Coturnix japonica: one gene and its partners. The protein of the gene in region 2 interacts with the protein of the main gene of each other region in a pairwise test. Links are inferred from orthologs where the notes say so. Each region holds a gene or a part of one and is shown on either strand. Other genes may lie near its edges.

Region 1 (4,504 bases), on a different chromosome or scaffold from region 2:
CCCACTTGTAATACTAATGTTGCAAAATAGGATGTATATTTCCTAAGTGGTTTATCTATTCCAGCTGATGGTTCCCCTTCCTTCTTCTTCAAGCTGGATCCTTTGTTTGTGGCATCTCAGCTGGTGACTGCAGGAACAATCATGATGTCACGGGCAGAGGATTAGGACTTCTGCCAGAGAAGAAAAAGCAGGATTTGTGGGGGTCTTACAGACATGGCTTCTAACTTGATGTGGTGTCAATTAGAATAAAAGGAAGAAAAACACTAGGGAAGCAGGGCAGTATTTGAACAAAACGTGCATTTCCACAGGCATCAGGCTCATCCCTGAAAGCATGTTTTTGTGTTTATTAAAAAAAAAAAAAAAAAAAGATTCTTGGAAAAAGCCCCATCTCATCACCTCTCAAAGATTTAAGTCCCCTCTTCTGGAAATGGCCTTTAACACCCCATGTGTGGAACTCTGCATCTTCCTGTGGAGACACCGTTTTGTGCCAGCCCAGGCAGCTCTGCAAAATCCATCACTGAGAGTACCCTCATCACTGATGTTACCAGTGTTTTGCTGAGAACTGAGATAGTATTGAGGCCTTATTTGCAGAGGTAGCATTAGAGGAGCCAGTGGCAAGACCTTCATGAGCTGCACCCAGGAGAGCATCCTTCACATGACAGAACTGCATCTTTAAATTTGTCCCACACTGACTTCAGATAGGTGACCCATGGTGGGGCTTTAGTGGGTGCTGCACGGGCCTTTTGCTGTGTCTGGTAACAGAAGAGTTTCTCCTTTTTTTCCCCTTTTCTCTAAAGGGAACCACAGGATTTGAAGCACAAATTGATAAGTGCTTGGAACTTGCAGAATACCTATACAACAAAATAAAGAACAGAGAAGGGTATGAAATGGTATTTGATGGAAAGGTACGTACTATAACTGCTTTTTTGCCACTTGGTCAACTGAACCTACAGTAGATACTAGGACGCTACCAACAGGTCAAACCTACAGCATGTGGTCGCACACAGTGCCCTTGTGTTGTTGCTGTGCTGATAATGCTCTTCCTTAGGGGATCCAGGGACAAGGCATAACTTACCAGTTTGCATAGTGTTACCCCACGGAACATAAACAGTGACATCTCAGGATAAAGCAGAACACGCACAGTCAGAACCAGCTTTCAAACAGTATAAAGCAGTTGTCATTTTGTAATTCCAGTGTCTGTTAGGAATGGAGGTTGCAGCGTGACACAAAGCTGGTGCTGCTTGGGCTCATGTGGCAGCAGTAACACCATGTTCCTTCAGACATATCACTATGCAGTTTATTTCCCACACCTCTCACATCACCCCTGAATTTGGTCCATTGAGTCTGATGATGGGTAGAGATACTGACAGCAGTCAGAACTGCTGTAGCTCACATGTTCAGCTGAGAGGAACACAGCAAGGAAAGCAACTGCTGGGAGGCTGCAAAAACACACAAAATGTCAGCTGATTCTGCCTTTCCACTTAGTGCTCCCACGTTAAGTTAAACTAGCTAAGATGCTGTTATGCATGCATATTAATACAGAAGCTAGTGGAATCAAACAGAGCAGTAATAAATTTTATTATATGTACAAAAATGTTAGACTACTTCATGTACCACCTGTGACTACTGTTTACAGGGCTGGATTCTGCATTATACTGTCATGTAATAACAGTTAATGATACGGTCCTCACCTATAAATTATCTCTGATAGTCTTTTGCCTTATCCATGCATTCCCTTCAGCCTCCTGGGGGGACAGCACCTACAAAATCTAGACGCTTCTCAGCAAGGGGTAAATATATTTGCACAGCTGGGTGATATATTTCTGCAACTGACATCCTAGGAATAAATTGCCTAAAATTACCCTTTCTGCATTAATAACGATGATGACTCTCAGTGGACCACGGTAATGAAAACCATTCATTGCTGTCAGAATATGATGCATGAGAGGGGGAGAAGGCATGAGCTTAATTGCAATTGAGATATTGCGAGCATTTCTTACAGTGTAAACTGCTGTTATTCTGTGCTTAGCCTCAGCACACAAACGTCTGCTTCTGGTATATACCTCCCAGCTTGCGTGGCATGGAAGACAATGAAGAAAGGATGAGCCGCCTCATGAAGGTAAGCAGGGTCCCCAGGGTGTCATGCACCGAGCAGCAAAGACCTTACAGCAGGCAGGCCCAGAAATGATCCTCAGGGTGTAGGGTCTGGTCACCTGGCTGTGTTGTGGCAGATGACACTTCCATGGTCATCTTGCTGCTTATTAGTCCGGCACCACTCCACTTTGGCCTCCAAGTTCAGTATTCTTGAGCTGACCTTTAGAGTTCTTACTGGAACCCTGTGTATATTTACTGAGGTTAACATAAACAGCAATGAGTGAGCCCCACAGGCATGGTAATCTGTGTGCACTCTGCCATACAAAAAGAAGATGGAAAACAACTTGTTTTGAGCACTAGAAGAACCAGTTACCATGCGCTAATTGCCTGTGAGCAAAACTGAGACAGTAAGAGGGAAATTCCCCAGCAATTTAAAGAGCAGGACAAAGAATCTGGATAAATCCAGTATCCTTGAAATGAGCCATTTATTCCTTAGCCGTTTATTCCCTAATGGAGGTTAACTGCTTTATCAATATTGGACCGATTTTCACCATAACAGCTTCTTACATCTCTTCATCCTTAAAAAAAAAAAAAAGAAAAAAAGAAAAAAAGAGAAAAAAAAAAGAAAACAACAAACAAAAAAAAACCCTCTGCTTTTTAGTAATAATAATAGTAACATTGTCATCATCCCCTGCTTCTTGTTGAACACCACTGCAGGTGGCACCAGTGATAAAAGCCAGGATGATGGAATATGGGACAACTATGGTGAGCTATCAGCCTCAGGGCGATAAAGTCAACTTCTTCCGAATGGTCATCTCAAACCCAGCAGCAACTAAGTCTGACATAGACTTCCTCATTGAGGAAATAGAGCGCCTGGGACAAGATCTATAATAACCGGGTGTGAAAGGCTGTTCCTGGACCTCTAAGTAGACAATTAAGTTGTCACAAACTGTGCGAATGTATTTGTAGTTTGTTCCAAAGTAAATCTATTTCTATATTGTGGCGTTGGAGTAGAGTACAGTTTAAAATCAAAAAAACCATGGCTCCTTTAAAGTCCTTTCCTGAGTTTTAGAATACCTCGTTAATAATTAGCTGCACAAAAAGCTGCATTGAAACAAATGAGGAATAACAGAAGATGTTTAAAATTTTATCCCAAATTTTAACACAGGAACTACTTTAAATTAAAAGCAGTCAGACCGAATGGTGCCAAATTTGCCCCAGATGGTGACAAAATAAAATTAAGGGAATAGGGAGAGGGTAGTGAGAAACAGTATACAAGCTGTATGTTTAAAAGTGGAAGTATTTTGCCTTTTTCATAGTATTAGAACAGAATTTCTAATTTACCTATAGCAGTATTGCAAATATATTTAAATAGGTATAGTTTTACAAAAGGAAATATATATCTATATATATATATATAAACCCTATTTTATAAAATATATATTTTTGTTTTATATGGGTTATAAAACTGCAAGGACAGAAACTGAAAATTAACTAGAATTCTTTTCTTTTGATGGAGGTGCCTCAAATATTTATTACTGCTTATTTTAAATCACGAGCCCACATACATTCTGAAGAGGTACCCGAACCTCATTTCTCCATGTTACGTGGATTGTAGGTCTCCAGGGTTGATTATTGAAAAACCTCAAGAGTACTGCAGCTCTTAAAACCACTTAGTAAGATCAATTACAGTACAACAATAGGATGTTATTATTCCTAATTATGTTTCCCACTTGGCCTAACTAAGCAGACGCACAATCAATCAACAGCGCTAACCAAGACTGAAATTAGGTTGTATTTGGATGGTTTCTTTGTCCTGTGGTAAAAAAGCCTATCCAAAAAAGTCACATGTCCAAGTTCTTACATCATAACCATTTCTGCTCTGAGCAGTACAAAACTGCACCAAACACGAATTGCCTGGAATGCTTTCCAAATAAAGCTTCATTAAGAGGGGAAAGGCTTCTTACGAATGTACAGGTCTGCAGGATAGGGCCTAAACTAAACACAACCATAATCCAGATGGCAGTATTGGAGGTTGCTAGAGGTTGTTGTTTGAGGTTGAGTAACAAACTGTGTTGTCAGAGGTTCTCCCAGTTCTGGACTACGTCTTTGTTTGCTACAACTTTTGAAATGACAGAAAATGAGTGAGCTTAGGCCGCATCTGCCTAGAACAGGCCATGCGAAGCCTCTCAAGCCTTAGAAGCCGTGGGCATGACTCCTGCAGAACTCATTGCTGCCCCATTCCTCACCATTAGCAGTGGCTCTGAGATGGCAGCTGAAGTTTATCCTTTTTTCCCCTTCTACAGCTGGAAGTGTGGGTAGGAATTACGGGGCTCAGGTCTGTCTATTTATAACCCTACAAGAGTTTTGGTTTTAACTTTGCCTATGTGGCCAACTTGTGTTTGTAAAG
Region 2 (3,767 bases):
ACCTTTTCCTTTCTCTTTTCTTCTTCCTGGAGTCCCAGTTGAAGCGTTTGAACATTTCTGCTTGTAGTGCTCAGAACAGTAATCTGATAAACTGCGCTCTGTGCAAGAGGAAATCCTATTTGCTTTCCTGCTCTGAACCCCCGATCACAGCAAAGCCCGTTATCTTGGCTGTGCATAGCTTTCGTTTGTGGTATTTGACGGAAGACGTTGTTACTTTGCCCTCCTCCTCCCAAGTGGAGGCTCTTGGCTGTTCCCCATCAGCTGGTTGATTTCATTTTCCCAAGTGCTTTTACTCTGGGGTTGTGGTCAAACACTGAGTTAGATATAACCGTGTCTATATGATAATCTGTCTTTTGCTTTATTAGGTGTTGTGATCTCCATCGGGGGCATTGCCCTCCTCTGTGTGCTTTGCGGCCTGGGCGCACTGTCACTGGGACTTTCTGGAGTGCTCAGTGTTTGTTACATCGTCCTTTCAGCGCTGGTCAACTACTGGGGCGCCTCAAGGTAACAGCCCGGGCTTTGGTCTGTGCCCTGACTTCAAACTGCAGCTGTACTGTAGCGTTGGTTACTTCCTTTATTTTAACAGTGAACTTCTGGTTCTTTTAATGAATGGCTTTCATGTGCTGGGGCATCTCTGGCTGCTTTGGTGCTTCAGCATTAAATGTAAACACATCAGTATGGATTTTGGTGAGAGTTACATTCACAGAGTGCTTAGAGTTGGAGGGGACCTTTAAAGGCGATCTGATCCATCTCTGCAATGAGCAGGGACACGCACAGCTCCATCAGGTGCTCAGAGCCCACCAGCCCGGCCTTGGATGTCTCCAGCAATGGGGCATCGCCCACATCTCTGCATCCTGTGCTGGGGCCACACCAACCTCATTGTAACAGAGAACTTCTTCCTTATGTCTGACCTAAACCTCTCTGTGAGCCTGAAAAACAGGCATATGTGAACACTCCGTAACATCAAAATGTATCTTTATTGTAGAATTAATATTGGTTTAAACATCCTCAAAACACACTTTCATGCACACCGAGAGGATGCAGCAGTGCTCTTTCTGCAGGGTGCAGTACCCAGCTATCTCAGCTGACCTGCATTTGCAAATAAATGGGCAGAAATGCAGCTTTGGAATAGGAGCATGAGTTGTTAAAGGGGAGAGCGTGGGTGGCTTCGGTAGGAGCGAGTTGTTTTGCTGGATGCTCCACGTGTTGGATTGCTGGCCATGCCTGCACACGCTCCTGGAACTCGGGGCTTGGAGGCCAGACTGGGGAGATTGGTTCCAGCTGAGCTGTGCTCAGGCACGTTGTGCAGCAGGGCCACCTGCTGCCTGCAGCGCATTGAGCAGCAGGAAGGGCTGAGGGGCAGGAGTGAGGAGCAGAGCTGCAGCTGCTCCCTCTGAGACTTTCTCAGCGTGGTCCTTCAGCACAGCAGCATTTTTTGCACAATTCTCAGGAACGTGCAGTTTCCTGTGAGGGTGTTGTACCTTCAGGAAGAGAAGAGTGGTGCAAAGTCAGTGTATCTGCATTGCTGCAGGGCGCTGTAGCACTCCTGCAAGGCCTGCTGCCAGGCCCGTCACTTTGCCCACCGGGTCCAGGAAAGATATCTGTCTCCTGTATCAGGTATTGATGTGCTGATAACCTACACACAGCTTACAGCTCCATGTTGGATGGGCACTGGCAGGTCGCTCTGTTTGCATTCGGTGCCTTTTCAGAGAGCTGTGGAGACAGAACAGCTGTGGATGTTGAGGACTCTCAGACTCACATTTCTTGTTGCTCAGCTGCTCTGGCAGGAAGTCAAAGGACGGCGGTCTGAGGGGAGAACAGACAAAGCTGTTCTTTTCTCCTGTGCAGGAGACAGGCGAGGAAGCAAGAGGTTAATGGAAGTTCACCACAGAAGAGTCTGTCTGTCATGGATTTCTCTGACAGCAAACAAAAGAACAAATAAGTGGGATCGTGTCCATCTCCTTCATCCACACTCCACTGTGCAGGTCTGTCCTTTGCAATGTAATTGTTTGCTTGTCGAGCATCCAGCCTGGGTGCAGTTCATATGGGAGCTGAAAGAGCCAGCGTGCATTGTGTGTAGTCACTGTAACACCAACAGTGGAAGCACCCACTGAGCAGCACATTGTGATGCTGCATGAAGGAGGGGACGTTCTGCAGCTTGGGACAGGGATGCAACAACTGCAGCTGAGTTGGTGGCAGGTGGGTGAAGGGGTGAGGGGTGTTTGCTTTGTTACTCAGTTCTTGCAATTTGTATGCAGTGGTTTGGCCATTTTATATGTGAGCATTAAGGCCCAGAACATCAGAAATGCTTTTGACGGTGAAAAAGTAACTTCTGAGTGCAAACAGCCCATGTTAAAATGCTGTGAGTGTACCACGCTGACACTGTGTGCTGTGAGAGGAAGATGGGTTTCACCATGCCTTAAGTGTGGTATAAGCAGTTACACACCCTCACAGCTGCAGGGATGCTTTTCTGCACTCACTGCCACCTCACAGCAGCAGAATGGGGCCTGCCCTTGTGCTCTGTTGTGTTCTGGGGTTGTCAATGGCCTGTTGTGCTTCTTGGCTGTAACTTCACACTTAGTTTAAACTGGTTCCATTTTTGAAAATGCTGTAATATTTCTAAGCATTATCAAACTGTTTGAGCTTAATAATGTGCTGTTTGTTTAACCACGTTGTCTCATTGTTCTGATTTAGTTCTGAGCAAGAAGTTTCCCTAAGAGTTTCCTTAAGGTTCTCCTTTCAGGCAGGTGCACGCCTGTTCAGTAAGATATTTACTGCAGATACTGCAAAACTTCATCCCACACAGAACATTTAAACTTCCCATTGGCAGCAATAGACAGTGACCAGGAAGACCAAACCAAAACTGAGGCATGTGTTCCTGAGTTTCTCTGTAAGAAAAGGCTGGGCTGTGGTACTGTTCATATAACAGACAGATGGAGAGATCCAGCTAGAAGGTGGAACAAAGGCACCTCCCAGGTACCACCAGGTCCTTGGGATCAGCACTGATGGAAGTCGGGTAAAGGAATCTCACTCAAGTCACCCACTGAGGAATCAACACCTTGTGAGCATCTGCCCTGCAATCTCTTTCCCTTTAGGGATTACAACCAGCTCATCCATAAATGCTTATTGCAGAGTGAAGCAGGGACAGTGGGAGTTGGGCCCCACTCCTCCCTTTCTGCCCTCCAGGTACAGCAGCAGCACAGAGGTGCCCACTCACCCTCATGGTACAGTTCCCCCCATTTACTAGAAGTTGAAATCAATGATAAATAGTTCTGTGGTGACATAAAATAAATAAAAATCCTAACAAGCTTAAAGAAAAGCTTTACTACTTCTTGCCCCAGCAAAGCTCTGCTTGCCTTTCCCATCTGGATGTGCAGTACAAGCACCTCCTACTGCCCTGTGAGCAGAGCCCCAGCATCCATCACAACATCCATCACAGCATCCCTGTGATGCTGGAATATGGGACATTCTGGAGCAGCTTGCAGCACCGAGCAGTGCTTTTACTCTGCTATCCAGCCTGTCATTGGATTAAAAGCAAACACTCCAAACACTCAGTTTTAAAGTGAATCCCATTAACACAAAGCCATTGAGACCAGCACTGTTGCTGGAGCTGACGTTCTCTACCTGTGCCCTCCAGAAGCAGGAGCATCTCCAGGCAGTGCATTGGTATCAAAGGGGAAAGCAACTGAGTACACTTGGAAGCGCCGCTCAGGACCTGACCTCGGTCACAGCAGCAGGATCAGGAAACGCTGTAGCAAGTTCAGTTA
Region 3 (4,943 bases), on a different chromosome or scaffold from region 2:
GAAGTTTATTCTCCTGCAGCATAAATGTCCATTGAAAATGAAGCCCATTGAAATTCTGGAAGATTAAAAAGAAGGCAAAGATGCGTAAGAAGGTTTGTCCTCCTGAGTTGTAGCAGCTTGAGAAATGTATGAAGGCAATCGGCTTTCTTTGACCATAAGGGTAGTACAACACTAGGAAAAGTCACCTAGAATGCTGATGGAATCTCCATCATGGACTATTTTCAGGTCTTTGCTAACCTGAACAAGGACTGGTGGCAATTGGCTTTGTGTGGGAGGAGTAAATGACCTCCAGAGGGTCTCTCCCAGCTCACCACATCTAGGATTCTGCTTTTACATAGCTAACAGTGGTGCTAATACTTCTTTTCTATGGGAAAATAAAAGAATCCTGTCTCTTAATGATGAGTTTGATGCCGAGAGATATTTCTTCAGATAAAACAGTAGCTGTGCAAATAATCTACTTGTATCTCCATGGGACAGGAACTGTGTCAAGAGCAGCTGTTGAGACCGTGTGATACAAACAATAGCAGGAAGATGTGTTTTAGAGCAGCGGTAAATATTCACCCAAGATTGACTTAAATATATATTTGAAGTTCTTTTTATTTAATGTTTTTAACCTGTTCAGCAGTTCCCTATCTTGGTACCAATCTATCATCCTCATCAACATCTCAATGTCCTACAAAAGAGGTCTATTCCAAACCTTGAGCCTGCCTGGACCTACCTGCCTACACTTCATGGTAGATAAATGGTTCTGCTTGAGACGTTTTAATGCTACCTCTGCTTTCTTTCCATTGAATTCTCTGATGTCTTTTTACAGCCACAAAACCTTATTTTCTCCTGTCTTCTTAGTGATTATTTTTGCTAGTTCTGCCCAGATTTGTTTGGGTTTTTTGCTTGCCAGCCTTCAGATTTACGTTCTGTTCCTGGAAGAGCAAGAAAGTAGATTCTTGAGGAGCTGAATATATCAGCTGTCCCACTGCAGTGTGTGGGTGATGCAGGCACTGGGCCTTTATTTCCTGCCTAACCAGAGACGTAACAGTAATGAAATAAAGAAGAAATCCTTTTGTTCATTCTTCTTCGTAACCTTTCAGCAGATGGGATCCGTCTTCCCCCTCAGCTCTGGATCCCAATTCTCATTGCTATTTATTGTTCCAGATCAACTATGTGGAGTTTCTGGTCTGCAGAGATGGGCTCTGATTACTGGCTGCACTCTCCATGTTCACAGGCAAAATGTACAGCTGTTGCTTTGATGATTTAAGAGAATCAATGCTGTCTCACTGTACCAGCTGTTTGGATACCAGCACGCTGCCAACTGGGACATCTCTGATCTGCAAAGTCCTACTTTAGCTCCCAGTTTCTAGGTCAGAAAAGCCCATTTCCATTCAGATCAAGGGGAATGGTTCCCTCTTGCCTCGAGGGCACAATTTCTTCACCACCTCCCTCTATAATGAGAGTAAAGGAGCTGCATTATCAGACCAAACTTCCATGCAGAAGTTTGTGCGTTCAGATCTCGCTCTGGGAGGAGAGTTTAGGGCTCATTGCTGCTGCATTCCCATGCAGCCACCTGCCCTTATCCCGTAAGCTCAGCGTGCCTCCCATCCCGCTGCTCCCAATGAACATGCACACGCCGGGCTCTGCCCACTGGCTTTTTAATGAGCGTGACATCAAAGCCCTCCCTGCTGGAGGAGGGGACCCACAATGCAATAGGCAGGGAGACGTGGAGGCTGATCCCACGGCTGCTGGCATCGCTGCTGCGGTCAGAAACCCTCTATTGTCAGCCCTGGGGGGGCCCGGCCCTGTATGGGGGTACGAGGAGAGACCCAGCAGCAGCAGTGCTGGGTTAGGAGCCGCCTCCTGCTCGTTCTAGAGAGGGGGTGTCATTTAAAGGGGGCGTCCTGCGCTGCTGGGGTTCAGGTGGGGAGCGGGGAGCTGCCCTTTGATCCCTCAGCAGCAGCAGCGGGGCCATGAGCTCTCAGGATGAGCAGTTCCAAGCAGCAGCCCCTGAGTCAGCATCTTCCTCCAGTGATGATGGCATGACCTGGTGGTACAGGTGGCTCTGCAGGATTGCCGGGGTCATCGGGGGCGTGTGTAAGTATCCCCTCCTTACAGCCAGCTGTTCCCCATTGCATGCATGCAAAAGCGTAAGTCAGGGTGTCGTGCTGCTGCTGGTTGGGTCGGGTCTGTGCATGGGGAGGCGGGCCCTGAAATAATCTGTGGGTGTTGCAGGTTTGTAACCTTCCTTACACGTGTGGTTTGCTGTGTTTTGGGCAGAAGGAAGAGCTGTGGGCGTGCCTAAAGCAGGGTGATGTTGGTTTGCATGTGAGTGATGCGCTTTGTGCTTGCTCAACTGCAGCACCTGGGAGAAGAGACGGCATGGGGTGGGGGGTCTGCAAAACCTCGAGTTTCCTATTGGATAACGATCATCTCCCATCAGCACGAGTGATGGAAGCAGCAGCCAAACCCCGGTCCTGCGGGATGGCTGTGGGCAGATAAAGCAGACAGTGTTTCAACAACGAGCATCAGGCTCAGTAGGATCAGGTGCAGGGCTTGAACTGGGGCCACAGGATTTAATTCATCCTATTGGACTGTCAGGTGTTCACATGTTCCTTCTGCTTATTTTCTTACCCTGCTTTGAGTATCAGACCACGTTTCCCATTCCTCCTGCTGTTTATCACAGGGGGCCCTGGCTGTGTCTATTTTTGAAGGCAAATAACAAACTGGGTTTGCACTGTTTGTTTTCTAAGGGGTTTAAGTCTTGGACGTGCAGAAGATGGGAGACAGAGCACAGCAAAGCGAGTTGGCTGGCTGGGAATTACCTGCTGCTGATGAACATTTTCCCAGGGAAAGAGTTTTTGCACCTTTGCCAGGAATCAGCTGTGTTCTGTGGGGAGATTAATAGCTCTTAAAAGTAGGAGGGACTGTTATGACTGCTTAGTCTGATCTCCTGCAGAGCACAGGATGGAGAACTTCTGCTTCGGGTCCATGACTTGAGTGTTAAAACAAGAGTGTTTCTCAGCCAGGACAGTCAGCCCAGATCTATTCCCTCTGCTGCAGTGTTTTGGCTGGTCCTGACCATCACTGTGCTTGTCTCCTGCCTTGACACCTGATGGAGCCAGACCAGGCTGGATACCCAGCCCTATACCCTGAGGCATTGCCATGCAGCCTCCTGCAGCCCTTGGTGGCTGAATGCTGCTCTCAATATGTTATGTCTGAGGTGCTGAAAGAGGCATAAAAAGGGCTGCTCTTAGGAGGTGAAATGCACCAGCTACAGACCCCATGCCTTTGGTGGAGGCCCCACACCTATAATGGAGGCAGGAGGCTGGATGGGACACGTTGGAGGGCAGCTCCCAGAGTAGCAGCTTTGCTATGGGCTGGGGTTGCAACCAGGGTCTCATCACCCATGTAGGGTGAAGATATGGGGTCCAAGATTGCAGCTCTTGGCCCACCCCTTGTGCCAAAGCAGCTCAACCCTGGCTTAGCAGCAGCACAGCACTTTGAAAACAGGTTCTTTTTCTTCTATCTTCAGCTTTTGAAGCAGCTGAGTTCTGCTTGGATTCTATTTGCAACCTTTCCTTCACAGCTTTGCTGAACTCCTGGCTTCTTTTCAAACAGTTTTACATCTGTGGGTGTCTCTGAGCAGAGCAGCCATCCTTAAGGCTGCCAGTCATTCAGGGCATCAGGAACCTCCATGAGGGCTGTCCAGATCCTCCATCCATCCAGGCTGCTTGGTGACCTTGGCTGAGTCCCTTCTCCCCCTTCTGTTCCCTCTTATAAAAGGATGAGAGCCTGTGGCTTTTGTATAATGCTCCAGGAGCAAAAATAGTGTTGCACTGAAGGCACTGAGCAGCTGCTTGGGATGAATAGAGTCATTGTGGGGGGCATTCTTTTTTTTTTCCTTCTTCATTTTAGCTCCCAGTTATTTGTTCTTCCCCGGGGCTTTCGGGATGGGACAGCAATTAAACAAATAGCAGGGCTGCCTCCCATAGCTTACGTGCCATCGAGCGATATCTAAATTTTATGCCTCTTCTGAGCCTTTGTTTTGCAAGAAGTCGTCACTGAGTTGGCAGCTCCGTCCCCTTTTGGCTTATGGAGGCAGGAGCTGATACTGCCCAGCGGGACCAGGAAGTGCCAGGCTGCTGTGGGATGCGTTGTGCTGCAAAGGAGAACGAAGGTCACTGAATCGTTATCTCTGGCTGTTGGCAGCCGCCATCGAGCGCAGTGTGTTCCTGTGCTTACAAAGCTCTGACTCCTTCCCCTCTGGTTGGTGTTTGTGCTGACGTATGGACTTGCTCAGCTCAGGTTTGCTGGGTCCATTGGCAAACGCAGTGAGCTTTTAGCTGGGGTTCCTGCAAGGACCTTTAATGCTCAGGGGTGTTTTGGGGTGTTTGAGGCTGGCACCATGTTCTCTTGTATTTCTGCTCTGTTAGAACCTTGCCCTTGCAGGACTCCTTGAGTTCTGTTGGATAGACCTAGGAATCCTTTAAAGAATAAGAGCAGTGATGGTGTTGTTTTGCAGAAATAGGAGTCTGCTTGTGGGGTGACCTCACAGTGATCCTGGCCTTTACATGCAGCTCAGTATGGTCAATAAGGGAACCTTGAGGATCCAGCAGTGACTGCTTAGAAGAAGAAAACTTCCTCTCTTTGTAGTTCAGCTCCACATCCCAGGGCTGCTTAAAGATTTTAGCTGGCACTTTGTGCTGTTGTTTACTGGGGACTCAGGTTCCTGGGTGAGCAGCGATATCAAGTGCAGGAAACGCTTTGCAAGTTTAATGAGGCGGGAGGTAGGTGTGTGGATGCTGCTGGCTGGTTCCCCTCCTTGCATTACAAATTCAGGAGCACAGGAGCTATTTAGAGCCTGGCTTTAGCCAGCATCCACTTCCACTTTGAGTAAGTGGAGACCCAGACTTGGCTGTTTTTGGCCCATCTCTAGTAGTGATGCACAGAAC
Region 4 (4,504 bases), on a different chromosome or scaffold from region 2:
GTAGAGCCGAGGAAATCCTATCATAAGCCTCGCCCTCTGAGTTACTAAAGCAACTAATACAGATGTCGTAGTGTGCCAGGATTTGTCCAGCACATCAGCAGTGTGCCATATGTGCTTGGACAGAAGTGTAAGAGGATTGTTACTAGTTTCATCTGTGACATCTGTGAATTTACTTAAAGTTCTTTACTTAAAGTGTTTTTATTACTGCTTACAGGAGCTGGGCAAACAACAGGAGAACTTAAGTGATTTCGGCGAGGATTTTGGGAAGGACTATGACTTCTTGGCACAAGAGCCATCGGATGCTTCGAGGGACTTCTCTACTGCCCCCAGCAAAACTCATGAACACAGCAGTGAAGGCCCTGCTTACTCTTACACTACGAATGGACCTTTTAAAAGCGTTGGTGAAACTGGAGATACTGGTCTGGGTCAGAAGCCTTTCCCTCCCAAAATGGATGCAAGGTTATTTGGAGGCTTTAGGGACCCTGGAAATCCTTTTGCTGCTGTCTTTGGACAAAACAGGGCTTTTCACCAAGATCATTCCTCTGTTGGTGGATTAACAGCTGAAGATATTGATAAAGCCAGACAGGCCAAAACTGAGCAGAAACCGTACAAACAGATGGTACGTGTATGTTTGTGTGTGGATTTTTTATAATTATAGGTTCTTGTTACTGTTCTGGATTATCCATAAGTCACCTCCTCCCATGTTTCTATTATTTTTTCCCCTTCTGAAATTCCCTTATGGAGAGGAAAAGATACAAGTGTCAGTGCTTCTTAACCCAGGTTTCTATGACAGGATCTCCTTTCACATCTACCTCTTATATATCCAACATTCTGATGTGAGAGGATGTTTAAAATGCCTATGTAGGGTTAGGCTTAAACTTGGTGTTGACAGGAGTTCTCCTTTCATTCATTGGACTGTGTGGACTCAGTGTGTTGATGCAGGTTACAGTAATGAAGGATCTGTGTTTTATCACAGTTTAACTGAAGTGTTGAGAGGATGTGGACTGTTTGTAGGCTACAATGCTTTGAAGGCTGCCCCAAAGGGTCTGTCTTCTTGAAGGGCTCTGTCTCCTTTAGCTAATGGTCTTGCTATGGCCATGATGAATGGATTGGATCTACACTTTACTCAGCAAAGACTATGGCTTCCTGTGCTATATCTTGTTGTCCTCAGAAGTGGATGGAATGTTGTCCTCAGCATTAGTAGATTAGAGAGTAGCATAGAGCCCTGAAGCAACAGTTGTGATCTATGTCCTTGTGGGAGCCAACACCAAGAACCCACAGTAGAATTCACAGTGGAGATGCTTGCCTCCTGCTCTAACTTGCCTCCTTCAAACCCACTATCAGATGCTGCTGTGGGTTTGCTTACTCAGGGTATTGCTTCAGTGGTACTGTATGCTTCTGCTTTGGCTGTTTTGTGGGGAAATTATCTGCAGTCCCATTGATCTGATGACTTGCCAAGATTTTTAACTGCGTGTGTAGAAGAGAGTTTAGCATTGGTTGATATTTCAGCGCTTCTCCGAGTTCAAAATTTAAGGGCTGTTAAGTTAAAAGCAAACGTGGACTTTCTAAACATGGCTATCAGCTTTTCTGTCTTTCCCACTCTCTTGTCCATTTCTTGGCTTAATGTGTTTGGTAGCTGTATTTTTGCAGTGTTCTCGCTTGAAGATCTGCCACTGTATATTTGGCTTGCCGTTCAAGAAGAGCTTTCTGTAGCACAGATACGCTCTTCAAGTGTTTTTTGGAGTCACGCTCTGTTTGCAGGTAACTGACTTGTTTGTTTGTTCTCCTTGCCCTGTCTTTCCGTGGCAGCTCAGTGAACGGGCCCGGGAGCGGAAGGTTCCTGTCACAAGGATCGGGCGGCTCGCCAACTTTGGAGGTGAGTTTGCACACCTACATCTGCAAAGGCACCACAGCTGAGCAGGCTGATGGCTGGTTGTGAAAGCGCCCCAGCTAAAGCAGAAGGTGGTTCCATTTTTGTGTTCAGCTTGCTGATAGGCAAGTGCTTTCTCACAAACAAATGGTTTGGCTCCAGAGCTTGATTTGGGATTTTTCATTACCATTACGGCTCTCAGCCTTTAGTCAGAAAGAAGTTACATTTTTCATCCGTCTCTGTTGCTCTTTTATCATATCTAACTGCTGAGCAAGGTAGTACTTGTGTGTCTCCCTTTGCTACTGGAAGTCCTCACTTGATTTCAGTTGTTTTTTTTTGTGCTCAAGATCAAGTAAGTTAAAATAGAATGCTGAGAAGGTCAAAAGCAGCTTTCATTTAACTGTTCCTGGGGTTCAGAAAGCTGAATTCTCATACTCTTGGCACTGTGGCCCTCACACTTGAATTATTCCTCCTTGTTTATTTCTTTACATGTTTTTTCATTGCTCCCAGATGCACTGGGGACCGTTGCTCTCTCTGCTGTGGCATTGAGACATTGCGGGGTGATGAGCATATTAGTAACTGGAGGCACAATTACGTGGACAGCAGAGTTCTGGGAATAAAGAACACACTGCTGGAACAATTAAGGATCTTTTTTTCCTTCAGTGCTTTTTTTGCTCTCCCTGCTGAGCTCCTGTTTCTCTGTGATCAGTGTGAGGCACTGCTGGACTTTGTTACCTATCTGCATTTTCATACATTGCTTGCTGCAGCTGGGGTGACTGCTGGTAGCTTCATTTATAGTTCATTGCAGTCCAAAACATTGCTTAGTGTGTGGAGCCAAGGCCAATAGGAAAAGTACTGTAGGTGACTTGCTGTTTCTTTTCTGTCCCTAATATTAGTTGGTGAGATACATCTTCATTGTATTGTTGTGTGGCTCCTGATGCTCTCTGCTCCCATTAACTGTTTGTATGTTGGATCTGGTTGAAGATGACTGCATTTCAAGTGCAAAAGATATTTGCTCAGCAGTTGTGGTATTTTCACTCTGACCTGCCTCTTATTTTAAAGGTTTAGCTGTTGGTCTCGGCATTGGGGCGTTGGCAGAAGTTGCAAAGAAGAGCCTTAGACCTGAAGAACGTAGTGGTAAGTTCTTTCTGCATCCTCACCCTTTCTCTTTATTCCCCTGCAGCCACTGACGGCTTGCATCACTGTTTGAAAAGCTGTATTATTTTGAATGTTGGGACATTGGTTAGTTATACCTGGCTGCATTATGGTGGCTGTTTCCTACACTTATGCTTTGGTAGGCTGCAGTATTATAGAGTGGTACCGTGTGGGTGAATGCTTTATGGCATAAAAAGTACATGGTGTTCTTCCCTAGAAAATGTCAGATCATTTTAGGCTTATGGTTCAAGGCACTTGATTCTTATCAGTGAAACGTTTTGGTGGCGCGCTGCAAAGTGTGAAGCTGTTAGAATTATTGCAGGAGTTACTGCAGGCTGCGTGGTCTTCGGCTGCTCTGTGTGGTTTGACTCATATGTTTATGTTTAGATTATGTCCAGTGATGAGAAGGAACTGATAAGAAGGATAAGCTTTTGCAGTTAGAAATCTTACAAGTAACTTACAAGTACCCAGCACCTCTCATTTACTCTGTGGCCATTTGTATTGTACTACAAGGCCAGTTTGTGTCTTCCTCACCCTTTTTTAGTAGTGAGGGGCAGATGGAGACTGAGGAAGGAGAACCTCTATTCCAGGAGGTACTGGAGTGGCTTAGAGAAATAAAAACCAACCAACCAAATTACAGTTCTGTTCTTCACTCCCTGAAACAAATTAACAAAACCACCAAAACCTCAACAACGAAAACAAAACAAAAGCAACCCCACAGAAGGACTGACACGTTCCTGGTGCTGGAGGGGAAGGAAAGGGTTGTGTACTGCCCAGGACACTACCTGCTAATGTGCATCTTTGTATTCCCTTACAACCAGGCGATGCAGAGCAGCCCAGCAAAGGAGGATCCTTGGCAAAGAGTTTTCTCTCCATGACCTGAGGTTTTTGAGGCTGGATGAGTTTCTTTGCTTTGAGCGTGCATGTAGGCAAACATGACCCATCCTCCAGACAATACTTGAAATCTTTTGCTTTCAGCGCTTGTGATGTTTGGCAGGTTGTTCGTACATGTTGGAAGTTAATGATTTGCCTTGCTTGAAGCAGAGAAGGAATTGCACAGTTGTTGGTATTTCTCTGCTTGTCAGATTATTGTCTAATTGGGCACACACCAAAGCATAAATGTGAGCTTGCAGAGCTATGAAATATGCTGGAGTACATGAGCTTTGTTTCTCATGCATTCTCTTGTAAACCTCTTGCATAGGTACCTCTACCTCTTACTTCTTTTTTAGCTGTAAACAGGCAAACAAAAAAGTACCTCTGCACTCTGCTGATGACTTCAGCTTAAGGCACTTGTGCCCAGGTTGAGAGATATTTCTGGCTGCCAGTACCATAAGGTCATGTTAAGTCTCTTATCTGAGAATGACATATTGTCCTGTTTTCTGGAAGTTAGTTAATGTCATTTCTCTTGCCACTGCTACACTATATTAACAGTAGTTTCCTGGAACACCAAACAAGCAGGGCACACATATGATCAAAGAC

What was found.
Region 1: the proteins of TMEM159 (region 2) and GAD2 interact in binary tests that used the Homo sapiens proteins (3 or more experiments, as listed by UniProt). The two-hybrid records come from large-scale screens. The link is inferred for Coturnix japonica from reciprocal best matches to the Homo sapiens genes LDAF1 and GAD2.
Region 3: the proteins of TMEM159 (region 2) and CACFD1 interact in binary tests that used the Homo sapiens proteins (3 or more experiments, as listed by UniProt). The two-hybrid records come from large-scale screens. The link is inferred for Coturnix japonica from reciprocal best matches to the Homo sapiens genes LDAF1 and CACFD1.
Region 4: the proteins of TMEM159 (region 2) and COQ8A interact in binary tests that used the Homo sapiens proteins (3 or more experiments, as listed by UniProt). The two-hybrid records come from large-scale screens. The link is inferred for Coturnix japonica from reciprocal best matches to the Homo sapiens genes LDAF1 and COQ8A.

The regions. Positions count from the first base shown.
Region 1 is NC_029517.1:14,717,951-14,722,454, reverse strand, and holds part of GAD2 (glutamate decarboxylase 2), read left to right. Parts: intron 1-797; coding exon 798-905; intron 906-2,029; coding exon 2,030-2,119; intron 2,120-2,811; coding exon 2,812-2,985; 3' UTR 2,986-4,504. UniProt on the Homo sapiens protein: Catalyzes the production of GABA.
Region 2 is NC_029529.1:12,763,358-12,767,124, forward strand, and holds the end of TMEM159 (promethin), read left to right. Parts: intron 1-365; coding exon 366-504; intron 505-1,848; coding exon 1,849-1,942; 3' UTR 1,943-2,667; downstream 2,668-3,767. UniProt on the Homo sapiens protein: Plays an important role in the formation of lipid droplets (LD) which are storage organelles at the center of lipid and energy homeostasis. In association with BSCL2/seipin, defines the sites of LD formation in the endoplasmic reticulum.
Region 3 is NC_029532.1:5,465,325-5,470,267, forward strand, and holds the start of CACFD1 (calcium channel flower homolog), read left to right. Parts: upstream 1-1,676; 5' UTR 1,677-1,961; coding exon 1,962-2,085; intron 2,086-4,943. UniProt on the Homo sapiens protein: Transmembrane protein which mediates synaptic endocytosis and fitness-based cell culling.
Region 4 is NC_029518.1:10,749,492-10,753,995, reverse strand, and holds part of COQ8A (atypical kinase COQ8A, mitochondrial), read left to right. Parts: intron 1-214; coding exon 215-619; intron 620-1,809; coding exon 1,810-1,876; intron 1,877-2,932; coding exon 2,933-3,007; intron 3,008-4,504. UniProt on the Homo sapiens protein: Atypical kinase involved in the biosynthesis of coenzyme Q, also named ubiquinone, an essential lipid-soluble electron transporter for aerobic cellular respiration.